Linked DNA regions of Schizosaccharomyces pombe. Changing the gene in region 3 together with the main gene of any one other region gives a genetic interaction. Each region holds a gene or a part of one and is shown on either strand. Other genes may lie near its edges.

Region 1 (4,269 bases), on a different chromosome or scaffold from region 3:
GTTTTTTTAAATACAACAGCAAAGTTCCGATTGACAAATTATATGTTAGCTTCTGTGACGCCGAAATTTACGTTTTTTTAATTTGTAAGAGGAATAATTCTGGCTTACTTGTTTTCCAATAACAAGCCCGTTTCTCATAATCTTTTTATTTTGTCGTTCACTCTGCAGATCTAAAAATGGTGACGAATCTTTGCTAGCAGTTGTATCTTCATTGTCGTCAATGCCATTTTCCGCATCTTCGTCTATTTCAGGAAGACCTTCTAAATGACTTTTGGAAAGATTCATTGAAGGGGGCACTAAAACGTTAGTTCAGGTACAAACAGGAGAAAACCTTACATTTAACAAGACGATTTTGTCGTTTAATTTTTTTCTTCATAGGTTGTGATATGTCTCTATCTACAAGGCTTTCTGAAGATGAGCTACTAAAGCTTTCAAACTCCTGCAATATCTTCTCTTCATTTGATCCGTAATCATCTTCAATATCTTTTAACTCACGAAGCATTTCACTGAGACTTTTTCGGCATGGCGCATTAACTCGAAGTAAGTTAGGAGATGTATAAACTTGAAGGCGATATGAAGAGGGGGTTTCAAGAACGGTGGGAGTATGTTGAGCCACAGGTTCGGGATTTTTTGATGGAGTAGTCGGTATCATAGTTGATGAAATTTCACTAGTGTTATGTTTTATATCCGAAATTTGATCCACATGAGAATCTGCAATGGGAGACATGTCTTCAAGAAGGTTAAGTACTCGACGTGACAACTGTGGAGTAGGACCTAAAAGACTTTTATCCACAGTTTTCGGAGTAACCTGTAGATAATCATTTCGGGGCGCTTTAGGACTCTCGTTCGCTTCAGTTTCAGCACGCTGTTTTGTAGGAGTTTGAAACTTAAAGTCGACCTTTGTTTTTGCTTTTTTAGGGGTAATGGAGGATTCGCGTTTCAACTCGTAGTATTGCTTATATAAAAGCGCTAAAAAAGTTCGTTAGTTTGCTTCAAAAATTCAAGTGTATCTTTGGCTTACATACCTATTTCTGGTTGTTTCTTCACATCCTCCTTAGAAGGTTTGCAATTGTTCGTATGGACGTACTCATGTTCCCACTTCTTTAAGAGCGCTTTTATACTAGATATTTGTTTAGTTCGTGATTCATCGTGCATGATTTGCCAATTAATGCACTGCCTGGACCCAATTTCAATTTTGTAGTGTTCGATTCAAACAACTGCAAAAACAAACTCAAAACAAAAAGAGAGGCTAATCTACATAAACATATATTTCTTCTAATTCTATATGTGGAGAAATACCATTGCACAGAGTTTGATACGTATCTCGAAATGCAAAGTTGAAATGTTAATTATGCTTTAAAAGTAAAGTAGATGCACTAATGAATGCTCCATTTTACTGCTGAATGTTTACGCATACGTTAAGCAGTTTTTTAAATTTAAATAACGTATAACGTTTAAGTACGCTGTCGTTTCCTTTTGATTTATGGTTGAGCTGTATGTAAATAACCTTTGTTTTTAGCTAAACTTATTACAATATGACTGTTCAAATCGATGAATTGGACGACAAAGATTTGGATGAGATAATTGCAAACGGAACACTTGATGGCGCGTAAGTGTGAATACTGAACAATCTTAACTATGGACTCGATTGAGCCTCTAAAATAATGAAAATTCTCTAACAATTTTCTTATAGTAAACAGGGAGCTGTGGATTCAGAGACGATGATTCAATATTATCGCCATCTTTTTCCGTGGAAATATTTATTTCAATGGTTAAATCATGGTCCGGTAGTCACTAATGATTTTGCTCATCGGGAGTTCGCGTTCACACTTCCTAATGATGCTTATATTCGTTATTTATCTTTTTCAAATTGGGAAGAGTTAAAAAAGGAAGCTTTAAATTTATGCCCAAGCCGATTTGAAGTTGGACCCGTTTATAGTGCCAATCCCAGGGACAGGAAAACAATAAGGAAGTCAACATTTCATCCGCTTAAAAAGGAACTCGTTTTTGATATAGATATGACTGACTACGATGATGTACGAACCTGCTGCTCAAAAACAAATATATGCGAAAAATGCTGGCCATTTATTACGATCGCAGTTCAAGTTTTAGATATTTGTTTTCATGAGGACTTTGGATTTAAACACATATTGTGGGTATACTCTGGTCGAAGAGGTATTCACGCTTGGATTTGTGACGAAATTGCTTGTTCTTTAGACGATCGGTCTCGTAGAATGATTGCCAGTTATTTACAGGTTGTAGTAGGTAATCCTCAAGGTGGCGTACGACTTATTAATAACTTAAAAAGACCCCTTCACCCACATTTGACTCGTTCTCTCAACATTCTCAAATCGGCCTTTGTAAAAATTGTCCTTGAAGACCAAGATCCGTGGGCTTCTAAAGAAGGAGCCGAAAACCTTTTGAAATTACTACCAGACAAGGATTTAGCATCTGCTCTTCGTAAAAAATGGGAGGTTGATCCTGAACGATCTAGCAAAAATAAATGGTCCGACATTGACACTGTCTTAGCATCTGGTTCTATTGCCTCTATATCTCCTTCAGTAATTGCGATTGCCAAGCAGGACATTGTTTTAACCTATTTGTATCCAAGATTGGATGTTGAGGTTTCTAGACATTTAAACCATTTGCTAAAATCTCCATTTTGCGTCCACCCCGGAACTAGTCGTGTTTGTGTTCCCATAGATATAGAGAGGATGGATTCTTTTAATCCTTTGAAAGTACCCACTGTGAATGATCTTTTGCAAGAGTTGGATAAAAATTCCCAAAATGATAACGGCCATGGTCCAACAATGGAAACTAATACAACAGAAAACCAAAAAGATAATGCTAGGGGACAATCAAACAAGGGGCATGGCTTTTCAACTTCTCTCAATCCTTATACGCTGTACTTTAAATCGTTCAGTAGCCAGCTTTTTAAAGAAACAGTAGGAAATAAAAGAAAACATGAGAATTTGGAATTTTAAAATCGTATTTCAACAATCGATTCAAGCTTTAACTAAAAATTTGGGCATACATTTACTCATGAAAGGATGGAAGCTCTGACTTCTATTTACGTGGAGCATATTGTTTTCCGTTAAATCGACAGTAATAATATATTTTTTAATACCTCTTTATTTATCCTTTTTTGCTAAATACATTATAATAATAAAAACCAAAACAAATCAAAAGCATAACTAGTATGATTTTAAACTAGCGATTTAATTTTCTTTTTCCAATTCACTATCAGATTGATTTGACTGAGACCTAGTATCCTCAGAAACATCAAACGATTCGTCGCTTTTAAGCAAAATTCCCTTTCTTTTTGGAATGACCTCCATGAATGCCTTTTCCCAATCTCTGTACTCTAACCAAAGAGATAATATTTCAAAGACCTGATTAACCGTAAGTATTTTCCTATCCGTAATTTTAATGTATTCATCAATTGGAAGCTTTGCAGTTTTGATCCCTTGCTCAGACGCTTTATTTTGACATAAATTTTTGTACCGATTCTTGTCGACAATCGCACCAATAATATAAATCTTGTCTTCATCGAGTTCGGTGATGGTGTTATCTGAATCAGCAGAAAGATATACTAATTTTTCTTTTTGGGATTCAAATTCCTCTAAATAAGACTTAGTAGTTGGGTTGTATCGTTTCCAATTATTTTGTTGCCCCTTTAGCACAAAATCTTGTCTGGTTTTCAAACGTCCACCAAAGTTGGTAGCAAAAAGTTCTACAGGATGTAAAGCTGTACGATTTGCAGAATGACATCTAGTAACCTGTTGACATAAAGAGTTGATTTCTTTATCGTTCATCAGATCATCAAATGCACAATCCAAAACAATTCGGATACTACTAGGAACGACCTTTCCTAGTCTGATCCTCTTCTTTTGACTTTTAACTACTTCGCCAGCTTCAATTTTTCGCTTTCTTTCCTCTTTTCGTAATCGCTTTTTTTCCCGGCGCATCTCTGCTCGCTTTTCACGACCTGCATCCCACTCTTGCTGTCTTTTTAATCTTTTTAATGCAGATTTGCTAAGAACGGGTTGCTCTTGAGTTTCATTTTTAGAAACGTCAGCTTCAGAAGTATTTGTGTCATCTTTACCAATATCTAAAGCGTCTTTGTTTTCCATAATTTCCCAACTTTATTGCAGTCAAAATATAGCCTAAATTTATCTAGTTATATCGTTATTTTGAACCTAGCCAGGCTGTTCATCTAATGGAAAAAGTAAGAGTGTTGTGAAGTATAAAAAGTTGGTAACTACGCCA
Region 2 (5,503 bases), on a different chromosome or scaffold from region 3:
TCCAGCAACAGAATCCGAAACAAGTGATGACTCAAGTTTTTCTTATAAACGCTCACCATGTAAAAGAAAGCTCGTAGAAGCTACTGCTCAACCAGCAATATCCACTAGTGTTGCAGAAGGAGCGTCATTAGCACAAGTATCCAAACCTTTGCCAGAGCGTTTGCAAAAGGATTCTATGAGACGAAGTAGCCCATTAAACGAAAAAGTTACGGCCTCTTCCGAAAGAATGAAGAAAAAGCTTGCCCTATTCGCTTCTAGTACTGATACTTCTATGCAGAAAACAATAGACTCTAGTTTCCCACTAAAGCAACCCATCAATAAACCTAGCTCGAATCCTAACAATTTGTTACTAAATGATCCAAGTCCAGCATCAACACCTGTTGCTAAAACAATTAATTTAAACGAGATTGAGTCGGTACACAACGCAGAATCAGTTTCCACACTCTCGAGCATTCCTCGTACTGAGCAAACCAGTGTTGCGAACAGAATTCCGTCAAAAACTGCAGCGCTACAAAAGCTCAAATTTTTTCAATCTAGGCCCTTGGATGGTTTAAACAAGTTTAGTAAAAAAATAAATATATCTTTGAGTGGAGTGCAAAAAGATATTGTTCGAAGCGATGCCTTACTGAAATTTTCGAACAAGATTGGCGTGGTGCATGATATTTCAGATGAAAATCAGGAAGATCATTTGAATCTAACTGTACATAAAGCCGATTTTTTAAGAATGAGGGTTGTTGGTCAATTCAATAGAGGATTCATAGTGGTTGTTCATGGAAACAATTTGTTTATAATTGATCAACATGCCAGCGATGAAAAGTTCAACTATGAACATCTCAAAAGTAATTTAGTTATCAACAGCCAAGACTTAGTCCTTCCAAAAAGACTGGATTTAGCTGCTACAGAGGAAACTGTTTTAATTGACCATATAGATTTAATTCGAAGAAAAGGATTCGGCGTTGCTATAGATTTAAATCAGCGAGTTGGTAATCGCTGCACTCTTCTTTCAGTTCCCACGAGTAAGAATGTCATTTTTGACACTAGTGGTAAGTTTATTAACGAAGATCTTGACCTTTAACTTCTGTAGATTTACTAGAGATCATCAGTGTGTTGTCTGAGCACCCACAGATAGACCCATTTAGTAGTAGGCTTGAGCGAATGCTTGCTTCAAAGGCTTGTAGAAGCAGTGTCATGATTGGTAGGGCTCTAACTATATCCGAAATGAATACAATAGTTAGGCATCTTGCTGAGTTGAGCAAGCCTTGGAATTGCCCTCATGGAAGGCCAACTATGAGGCATCTCCTTCGATTAAAAGATATATAATGCGTAAAAGAAAGACTTTTTTAACGATTCTAGAATTTCAGCTATTGAATTAATGAATAATATTGGTTTATTTACAATGTATTTAAAACATAGCAATCAGCAATTATTAAAAGTGAATCTCTTATTGCCAAACTCAATTGAAATTTTTATCATTAAAGAATTATTTTAAGCGAACTTGAACCATGAGGAAATGATTTTTCTTTAGATGTAAATAAACATCGTACTAACGAGGTATGCACAGTTGGATAATCGCTTTCTTAATGTTTTGTATCCCTACAACTTTCATCAACTTCAGTTTTGCAATATCAGTCTTACTTCCTAATAAACCATCTATGCTAGCAAATTTAAAAAGGTTGTATGATAATTGTTGAAACTATCCATTCACTAGATATTTTATATACCTGAACAGGCTTTTATTGACTTGCTGTACTACAATAAACAAACTTCTACGAATCACCAAAATCATCCAGTCTTATCCAAATGGTGTCAAAATCTTTCAAATACCCTAAAAAGCATAAATTTGAATGGATTAATGAAACTAATAGAGTTGAAAGGGTTGGAAGTGGCCTTAAACGAGTAATCTTATGCCCTTCTATGGAACTCATTGCGATATTAACGTGTTCAAATCATTTGATTTGCTGTAGAAGTAACAGTCAAAGAATTTGGGATGTCGATTTTCATGATCTCGAGGCTACTGAATTGTGTTGGAATCACGATGGTACGTGGCTCGACTGGAAAACTTTTTTTGTATCATTAACATAAATAGGGAATTTAATAGTTGTTGGATTTAAAAATGGAGAGCTTAAAATTATTGATTCCTCCACAGGACATCTGGTTGAGCAAAGGCCAGCTTCCAGAGATTTAGCGGTTCTAATGATAACATGGGCCATGCAAGAAACGATAGTAAATGAAAAACGCAATGATTTTTTATTTGATGCCACTGCATATATGCCTTTACTTGGTACACTTCCTAGTTCGGCAAAAGAGTAAGTAGTAACACAAAGCGACTTGTCTCTTACATTTTTTAGGGAACGTATATTTTCTTCAAAAGCAATCGCACAATTTTTTGAGCCGAGGAAACGAGAGGGTGAAAATAACAAAAAAGTTGAGCTCTTAAGTATTTTGGATGAACGTGGAATTAGATACATAAAGTGCGTATCAAAAACCCCTTATTTATTAGCATCTTTCTAAAAGAAGTTTTTTTATCGATCGATACAAATTAGAAGTACTAACTATTCATAGTATGTTTTCGTCTTACAAAATCGGAGAAAGCGATTCTTTGAAATCAGCCTTGAACTTGGTATTATACCCATGTTATTAAATGTCTTGCTCACACAAATTATAGGGGGTTCCCATTTCACACAGCATAACCAACGACTTAGCATATCATGTTCTTATTTGTAAAGGAGGAACGAATATTTCTTTGAAAACACTTTATATGCCATTACTTAAAAATGATTTGGGAAGTATTGTGGATATTGCAACAATGTCTACACGTATGCAACATTTGGTAAGATATCTTGAGGAGGTATTGAATGCTATGTATGAAGAATTTGACAATGTCTTCAAATCAGAAGCTAGCTTTATTAAAACCTTTGATGCTTTAGTGTCCAAGTACAGTGACACAACTTTCTTTTCTTTACAACTAGAGTTATATCAATTTATAATGAACGGTATACCCAGCGACTTACTCAAAGAATGGATCAACGAAAGAGTCGGTGATCGAGTACTAAAAAATTGGGAACGGGCGATGGTGAATTCGTACACGTCCTTAATCATTTTCTGTCAGGAATTCGTAATACCTGCTTGTGAAAGGTTAACTGTATTATTATCTTCTGCCAGAGGAAAGTCAATATGGGGCCATATGAAGGGAAACACATTACTAGATGCTAAATTGGTGGAAGATTGTCTAGCAACTTTGGGTTATTTACAGAATAATGTTTTTTCGTTTCTCAATTGCCTTTTTGAGGAAAAAAAGTATATGAAGCACTTTATTTCATGGTTGAATTACGCTATCGTCGAGTTTAATACTTCTGAACCATCTTCTATTCCACCGCAAGAGATTATTGAACATATTAATGAAACCGTAATTTATATTCGTCATTCTTTATTCCGCTCGAAACTAACAAGTTACTTTATGGGCACAAAACCCCTTCAGCTAAGAGATCCTGATTATTATTCTCTCAAGGATTTTGCAAATCAAGACGACAGTAATTCTGTTGATGATTTCGTATCATTCAAAACCTTGAAAGAATCTTTAAGAGACTCATTCAACGTCATTTTTAGCTACCCTTCTTTAACTTGTCAAAAGCAATGGTTAAAAACCGGAGACCTTGTTTTGTTTGAAGGGACTGATTGGAATGTATCATCTCTTATACCAAAATCCTGTAATGAAAAAAACCAATTATTTTCATTATTCTTTCGAAAGGATACTCCGAATATATTCTTAATAATTTCCCAACTTATGGAAAATACTATGTTGCCTGTATCTGGATGCCACTTTGGCTTGGATTATGCAGAATTACTAGGAAGCAGTCTGTTGGATTTCCAGCCCGCAACTGTTTTAGACATGAAGCTTTTAAACGGAAGTAGTATTTTAATACTTGGAAAACTAAAGGAGAAGTGCTTCTTATGTGAAATTTGCTTAGCAGACGTTCCCTTAACCTTTTTTGAGCACCAGCAAAAAAACAGTTACCTTGATGCTATCAGTCATCTTCCTTTCATTCCACTAAACAGTTGCCTATGGCTGCATGAATTTGAGAAGGATTTCCTTCCTTCAACACTCGAATATGCCCTTTCTGAGAATAGCGATTACGGAGTCCTTATTTCAAGGGAATCTTCGAGATATCGTTTATTCTCTTTTTAATGAGCTTATGTTTAATGGTCGTAATGTTTTTTTTTTCTTGTTTTTGAAGAGCAAGTTACATTTTTTGTAGCGGTCTTTTAAATTTTCTTTTCTTTTTTTTAATTCTTTAATATAATTTAAAAGCAGAAAATTTATACAATATTTTCAATTGCAATAACTTCATTTAGAAAAGTCAACATATAACGAAGTTTTTTACCTTCTGCTATAAGTTTCCTTGATACACTGACTTCTTCTCTCAGCGAGGATCGTGTTTCAGCTAAAGTATAGAGATGGACACCTTCCCTTCTCTGTTTCTATATTCCTTAACAATACAGAATAGTAATTATGTTCAAAGTTCGTGTGCCGCGTCCTTGTCTGGTAAAAAGGCACAGGAGATAGTAATTGCTACAGAATCAAGGTTGCTTATATATAAAGTTGATGCAACTGATGGGAGAATGAATTGTATTTTAAATCAAAATTGTTTTGGTATTATTCGAAATGTTGCTCCTTTGAGATTAACTGGTTTTAAACGCGATTATCTCGTAGTCACGTCGGATTCAGGACGAATAACCATTTTGGAATATAACGTTGAAAAAAATAAATTAGTGCCAATATACCAGGAAACTTTTGGAAAATCAGGAATTCGAAGAGTTGTTCCTGGTGAATACTTAGCCATAGATGCGAAGGGGAGGGCCGCTATGATTGCATCTGTGGAGAAAAATAAGCTGGTTTACGTACTAAATCGAGATTCAGAGGCTAACCTAACAATATCTTCACCACTTGAAGCTCATAAAGCTAATAATATATGTTTCCATTTAATTGGGTTAGATACTGGTTATGCTAATCCCATCTTCGCTGCCTTAGAAGTCGACTACAGCGAAATAGACCATGACTCAACTAGAGAAGCATTTACATCTTCGGAAAAGGTTTTATCATATTACGAATTGGATTTGGGATTAAACCATGTTGTCAAAAGATGGTCGAAGGTCGTTGACAGAAATTCTTATATGTTAATCCCTGTTCCCGGTGGTAATGATGGGCCCTCCGGTACACTAGTAATATCTAACGGATGGATTTCCTACCGTCACCTTCAGAAGGCATTTCATCAAATTCCCATTTTGCGTCGTCAAGCTGCATCGGCAAACGCCATATCCACTCCATGGAATCAAGTCAATTCAAACTCTGCAAATGATGGTCCTTTGATTGTTAGTGCTGTTCTCCATAAAATGAAAGGATCGTTTTTTTATCTTTTACAAACTGGTGACGGGGATTTGCTGAAGCTGACAATCGAGCATGATGGTCAAGGGAATGTTGTTGAACTAAGGTTAAAATATTTTG
Region 3 (6,303 bases):
GTAAATTCTATTTATCCGCCGGCACAGATCAAACTACTAGATTGTTTGCACGTTTTAAAAAGGATAATGCTTGGCATGAAATGGCTCGACCTCAGATCCATGGCTATGACTTAACCTCTATATCCTGTATGCCTTCTCGAATTGGATTTTTGAGCTGTGCCGATGAAAAGGTGTCTCGTGTTTTTAAATTCCCTAAAACAATTGTTAGACTTCTTTACCGTTTATGCGATACCAATATTGGGGAGGAAAGCTTACCTGATGCTGCAAATGTTCCTTTACTAGGTCTTTCTAATAAAGCTACCACTGCATCTGAAACTGGTACGGTAAATGCAGAAGAAGTTCAGACTCCTGTTGCTGATGTGATTGGTTCTTTGAACCATCCTCCTTTTGAAGAACACTTACAGCGTTTGCTATTGTTTCCGGAAGTTGAAAAATTATTCGGCCATGGTTATGAGGTTTATGCATGCGCCATATCTAATAATGGTAATATTGCCGCGACTTCTTGTAAATCACAAACCCCCGAACATGCTGTCATTCGGTTATACGAAACGCAGTCATGGAATCAGCAGCAAGTCCTTAAAGGTCATTCTTTGACGGTTACAACTATAAAGTTTTCACCTGATGACCGATACATTTTAAGTGCTGGGCGGGATCGGTTGGTGTGTTTGCATGAGCAAGCCGAAAATTTATTGGATTATAATAACTTTGCTTCTATAAAAGCGCATTCTCGTATTATTTGGGATGCTAGTTGGGCTCCCAAAGAAATGGGTTACTTTTTTGCGACTGCTTCGCGTGATAAATTCGTGAGTAATTTTTTATTTGATCAAATCTTGCTAACTATTTAGGTTAAATTTTGGAAAATCAATGACAATAAAAAAATATGTGATGTTGCTGCTCTCCAATTTTCTGATGCTGTTACCGCTGTTGACTTTGCTCCGTTCTTTCACAACGATGAACTCTTGCTTGCGGTAGGAACTGAAGCTGGTAAAATATTTATTTGGAGATGCCCGAGAGAGAATCTTACCAAATGGTACCCAACACGTTTACCAGACCACATGGCTCCTATGGAGTCAATTAACCAAATTTTATGGAAGCCCACTTTTGAAACTATGGGGTTGTATTCTCTTTTAATTGCTGGCGAAGATACCAGTGTACGACTTTTGAACGTTACGTTGGGATAAACTTGAAAATAAGTACAATTGGTAATGTTAGATTGGGTTGGCCTGTTTTAAACATACCTGAGGGGTGGTTAAAAATGCTTAGATAAATTATTTATTGTTATAATTGTCGATAAATAAAAGGAAGGTTAATGGGTTGTTAGGTTGGCATAATTAGTGCTGAATGGTAGACATTCATCAGATTGATTCATTACTTTAGTTGTTATATATATATATAAATATGTATTTTTAATTATTAGTATCAAAAACTTTGGTGTAGTAGTCTTCTCAATTAACTCAAACACAATTTTACATGTTAGAGAAAAAAACAACACATAAAAATTTTTTTTAAAAATAAATTATATTTAAAAGGTAGATAAGGCAAGATTTTAACTAAGAAGTATTTTCAAGCGTAATAGAATGCAAGTTGTAAATCTAACTAAGAACATTGATTACTTCTACGAAATTTAGTTTATTTTTTTTCCCTTTCTATTACTCGTTTACATTTATTGAAAGAACGGAGCAAGCTAGGAAGTAATTTATATTCAACTGAATGACTGCATTTTCGGTAGTGTCCAAAAGTAACACTTACCAACTCCAAACATCTATTTTGCAAACCTAAGTCTTAATAAAGATACTTTTTATTAAAGGCTATATTTTCTCAGGTTTGAATTTGTTGACTCAACGAGTTAATACTTATATACTCCGGCCTTGCTAAATCGATATTCTGTAAAGTTTGACAGTGTTGTATTTGCCTACAGGCTTAACGAGTAATTACTTATTATTTATTCAAAAAAGGGAGAAAAGGTACTAAGTACAACTTTTGAGTTTTAGAATTGGAGTTTTGGGAGAGCATTTGCTGTTTATTTATCTTATACGCTCCTTTAATTTTTGGCACCCCGGAGGAACATGAGCCAAGATCAAGAAGAAGACTACTCCAAACTTCCTCTAGAATCAAGAATAGTACATAAAGTATGGAAAGTGCGTCTATCTGCTTATGAAGAGTGCAGCAAATCGTTTTCACTTTCAGCAGATGGTTCGGATAATTGCTTTGAGCTTTGGAATAATCAGAGTGAATTGTGGAAATCAGTGCTGACTGATAGCAACGTAGCAGCTCAAGAAGCTGGTACCGCAGCGTTTGTAGCTTATTGCAGGTTTTCCGATCCTTCTCATTTACTTAAAGCTCGTGAAATATCAGTCCTTTCAATTTCAGAGAAATGCTTAACATCACCTCGCGCAGGTACAAGGGAAAATGCACTAGAAGCTCTTATGCTATTAGTTGAAGCAGATTCAGCTGCGCCAGTTATAGAATCAATCATTCCTTCTTTATCGGCTCGATCCCCGAAGGTAATAGCTTCTAATGTCGCTGCCATTGCTAGTCTAGTTGAGCAGTTTGGTGCTAAAGTTATTCCTTCAAAAATGATTATTCCACATATCTCCAACTTGTTTGGTCATGCTGATAAAAATGTTCGTAAGGAAGCATCTCGTTTAACTGTAAACATTTATCGGTGGACAGGGGATCCTTTAAAAGATTTACTATTTAAAGATCTAAGACCAGTTCAGACGAAAGAGCTTGAGTCTCTTTTTGCTGAGCTACCAACAGAGCCTCCCAAACAAACTCGTTTTTTGAAAAGTCAGCAACCTACATCAGAGCCGAATGTTGAAACACAGGTAGAAGAGCAACCTGCTCTCGAGAATGAAGAAAGTGAACCAGAACCGTCAGATGATCAATTTGATTTGGTAGAAGAAGTGGACGTTTTACCCAATGTGGATCCTAACCTGGAAACTTTAATGGCTTCTTCGAAATGGAAGGATCGTAAGGAAGCGTTAGACAAACTACTTCCTGTCTTATCTCAACCAAAGATCAAAGACAACGATTTTTTTAATTTAGTTGCTATTCTCACAAAGTCTGTTTCAAAAGACGCAAATATCATGGTGGTTATAAATGCTGCACACTGTATACAAGCGATGGCTAAAGGTTTACGCTCAAATTTTTCGAAGTATGCCTCAACATCTATTAATGCACTGTTGGAACGATCCAAAGAGAAAAAGGCTAATGTAATCGAATCACTATCTTCTGCGATGGATGCTGTTTTGGCTACATCCAGTTTGGATGACTTAGCCGAGCTCATTGCTAGCTTTGCCGGGAACAAAAATCCTCAAATCAAAAGCTCCTGCTTTAGTTTGTTCTCGAGATCTTTCAGTAATATGACATCCTTACCATCTAAGTTTACAGTTGATACCTGTGCTAAAGCATGCGTTCCTGGTGTTTCTGATACCTTTGAGCCGGTGCGTAGTGCGGCAGCAGAAGCCTTGGGTGTTTTGATGAAACTCGTTGGTGAAAGAGCCATTAATCAGTATTTAAGTCCGTTGGACGACATCAGGAAATCTAAAATTCGTTCTTTTTATGAAACAGCTACAGTAAAGGCTAAGGCACCTACAAAAAAGTCGAAAGTTAAACCTTCAAAACAAGAAGAATCAAAAGTCGTCGTACCTTCAAATGCTAAGGCTGTCAAGAAATCCGTTGTTCCTTCTAGTCCAGTTGTACCATCTCCACGAAAGGCAACTAACAAATCGCTTTCCATGGATGTATCAAAGGGTAATGCATTTGAGAATGGTCCTTTGTTACCAAGACCGACTACGAGGCCAGTTTCTCGAGGGCTTTCACGAGGCACATCTTCCAGTTTGCAACAAAAAGTAAAAGCTTCCACTCCTTTGAATTCGGGAGCACTTAACGAAACGGTGCAAAATTTGAAGAACATGGAGTTGGACGATCCGGCTCCTCAACCGGCTAAGCATTCACGAGTTGATCGTTATGAACACCCTAAAGTATTAGAAGACAATGACTCTACCATTTCGTCTTTAGAATCTCTGAAGAGAGAAAACGAGGAGTTACGAGAGCAGTTGAAAGTTGAACATGAAGAGAATATTTCTATGCAAAAACAACTCAGTGAATTGAAAGGTGAATTAAATACCTTACGCAGTGCCAGGAAAGCCTCACCAATAGGAGACAGAAAACCTGCATTTATGCGAAGAGCTAATACTGACTTTTTAGAGCTCTCTACGAGTCCCTCATTTCAACGTTCAGTGAGGGAATTTGAACCTACTAGACCTAAACTTTATAGCTCTATAGATGTGAATCAGAGATCCCCTTTAGCATCTGCGAAAACAAATGGTAATTTCACGTTTCATGCTGAATTACCAAGATCACCGTTTTCGTCAAGGGCCAATAATATCAATCCTGATTGGACTAAAGCCATTGATTTAGCTGCCAAACTAAAACAAAAAATTACTGAGATGAAACAAACAGACCAAAGACATCAGGGATTGATTCACTAGTTTTTAAATTCTTTCGTTTACATTCCAATGTCCCTTACTTCCCTTTCTATTTTTTAATGTTTTAGAATAATGATAATATCGGTTTACAAAAATAATAACAAAATACGTATTCTCGTTTATACCAAATTTCTTAAAATCAGATTTAACTATAGGTTAAAGATGGAGTCAAATGGTAACTCAAACACACAACACAAACAAACATATAAAATAAATAAAAGAATTTTAACGTACGAATTTATCGCATTAAACGTATTAGTGTCATTAAAAAAAGTAGTCTGTTTAATTTTGCATCACAAGTATACTGTATAGCCGTACCAAGTATAAACGAAAACCTCTTTTTAAAAAAATTAAACATAATAAAGAAATTGTTAGAAGAAAAAAAATAAAGATATGCGTAAAGTACAGACAGTCGAAAAAAGAGTAACAATCACATGAGTCTTTGCCCAATGAAAAGTTCTAAGCTTTGTTCAAAAAGTCCGGAGGACTGATGTTGCTAAAGTAGTCCAAAGAAGCGGTGGAAGGAGTATCGGCATCACCATCATCGTCCTCCAGGTAGAAATAAGAATCACGATAAGGGGAATAAGGCGGTAAATGGGACAATTCCGACTCTAATTTCCTATGAAACAGATATATAGGAAGCTTAAAATCCAAGGAATCTAGCCACTCATTTAGTTTTTTCGCATTTTTTCGAGAGTATTTAGATAAATTTGGTAGGGAGGCTTCGGAAGGAGAGGCTAAAGATTGCTTTACGCTGTTTTCAGTATCGCCATGCCAGCTTCCAGAAAGCGAAGAAGATGATGATGAGGGTCTTTTCATAGAAAATAGTGAATTAGATTTAGCTTTGTGAGTCCGAAGGAATGGGGGAGCGAGTTTTCGGGATAAAGAGGAGGGTTCACGAGAGTGAATTGATACATAAATTGAATGTCGCACAAGGAGGTGTGGATTTTCTGTACAGCTTCCGTGAATTAAGTCGTTCACAGGAATTGTGAACTCAACTCTTGAATGGAGGCCAGGAACAATAGGTGGAGACCACTTACCATCCTCAAAAAGGACAGTAATGGAGTTTCGAAAAGCATCATTAAAAAGAAAAAAGGTAATGCTTTGGACAAGAAGCACTCGTATATAATAGCGTTTTAACTTCTTTTCGACTACAGGAGACGAGGTACGAGATAATGAAGAGCGTCCTTTCATATCACAATCATTACTCAAACGTGGTAACCGATCTTGAAAGATAAATTGAGAATCTTGGGAGTTAATAGCAATGGGATCTATATGGGGATCATCTGTTCCAGCAGAACCTGGGGTAGATGACAGTACATCTGCATCTTCGGACTCCAAATCAATTAAAAGTGGGCAAACACAGCCTGGTCCTTTATAGCACTGTTGAGGATATTTAAAGAACGCAGTTAGAAATGAATACTTTGAAGACTTCATTGATAGCGAAGTAAAACACGCATCGTTTAGGGGCGCTCCATAACGTATGTGCTGAGATTCAGGAATTCGATCGGGATTGAGAGTAAAAGGTACAACTACAGGAACATTGGCTGACTTTGGCATACGACAATCATCTTCAGTATACAATTTAACCGTTAATTTGTAAGAAATCGAACCTTCTTGAGTCACAATCGTTCGTGGGGTGCACCTAGGAAGTGGAGCAATGATATCAAACGTATAGAAAACTCCTTCCTTTACTTTGAAATTATTTCCAAGATCCCAGTCGATATGATTGAAATGACACTCCAGCGGTAACTGTCTCTCAGTAGGAAACTTTTTCAGACCAGTAAAGCTTGCAGTAAGGTATTTACAA

The links. A genetic interaction does not mean that the proteins touch.
Region 1: of alp14 (region 3) and spp1, extra expression of one rescues a mutant of the other (dosage rescue), as found in Schizosaccharomyces pombe (one study listed by BioGRID).
Region 2: of alp14 (region 3) and cut20, extra expression of one is lethal in a mutant of the other (dosage lethality), as found in Schizosaccharomyces pombe (one study listed by BioGRID).

The regions. Positions count from the first base shown.
Region 1 is NC_003424.3:2,427,884-2,432,152, reverse strand, and holds spp1 (DNA primase catalytic subunit Spp1), read left to right. Parts: upstream 1-1,517; 5' UTR 1,518-1,535; coding exon 1,536-1,609; intron 1,610-1,693; coding exon 1,694-2,984; 3' UTR 2,985-3,177; downstream 3,178-4,269. Other genes in the region: drc1 (DNA replication preinitiation complex assembly protein), read right to left, coding at 46-296, 337-969, 1,026-1,155; tRNA m(1)G methyltransferase Trm10, read right to left, coding at 3,219-4,133. UniProt on the Schizosaccharomyces pombe protein: Catalytic subunit of the DNA primase complex and component of the DNA polymerase alpha complex (also known as the alpha DNA polymerase-primase complex - primosome/replisome) which play an essential role in the initiation of DNA synthesis.
Region 2 is NC_003424.3:4,040,717-4,046,219, reverse strand, and holds cut20 (anaphase-promoting complex platform subcomplex scaffold WD repeat subunit Apc4/Cut20), read left to right. Parts: upstream 1-1,595; 5' UTR 1,596-1,800; coding exon 1,801-2,038; exon of another isoform or gene 2,039-2,086; coding exon 2,087-2,306; exon of another isoform or gene 2,307-2,348; coding exon 2,349-2,471; exon of another isoform or gene 2,472-2,491; intron 2,492-2,562; coding exon 2,563-2,620; intron 2,621-2,646; exon of another isoform or gene 2,647-2,665; coding exon 2,666-4,186; 3' UTR 4,187-4,411; downstream 4,412-5,503. Other genes in the region: MutL family mismatch-repair protein Pms1, read left to right, coding at 1-1,043, 1,085-1,320; prp12 (U2 snRNP-associated protein), read left to right, coding at 4,456-5,503.
Region 3 is NC_003421.2:1,009,696-1,015,998, forward strand, and holds alp14 (microtubule polymerase alp14), read left to right. Parts: upstream 1-1,747; 5' UTR 1,748-2,066; coding exon 2,067-4,496; 3' UTR 4,497-4,619; downstream 4,620-6,303. Other genes in the region: elongator complex subunit Elp2, read left to right, coding at 1-803, 846-1,181; SPOM_SPCC895.08C (uncharacterized protein), read right to left, coding at 4,953-6,303. UniProt on the Schizosaccharomyces pombe protein: Required for bipolar spindle formation and proper chromosome segregation. Has a role in connecting the kinetochores and the plus end of pole to chromosome microtubules. Also required for the activation of the spindle checkpoint pathway.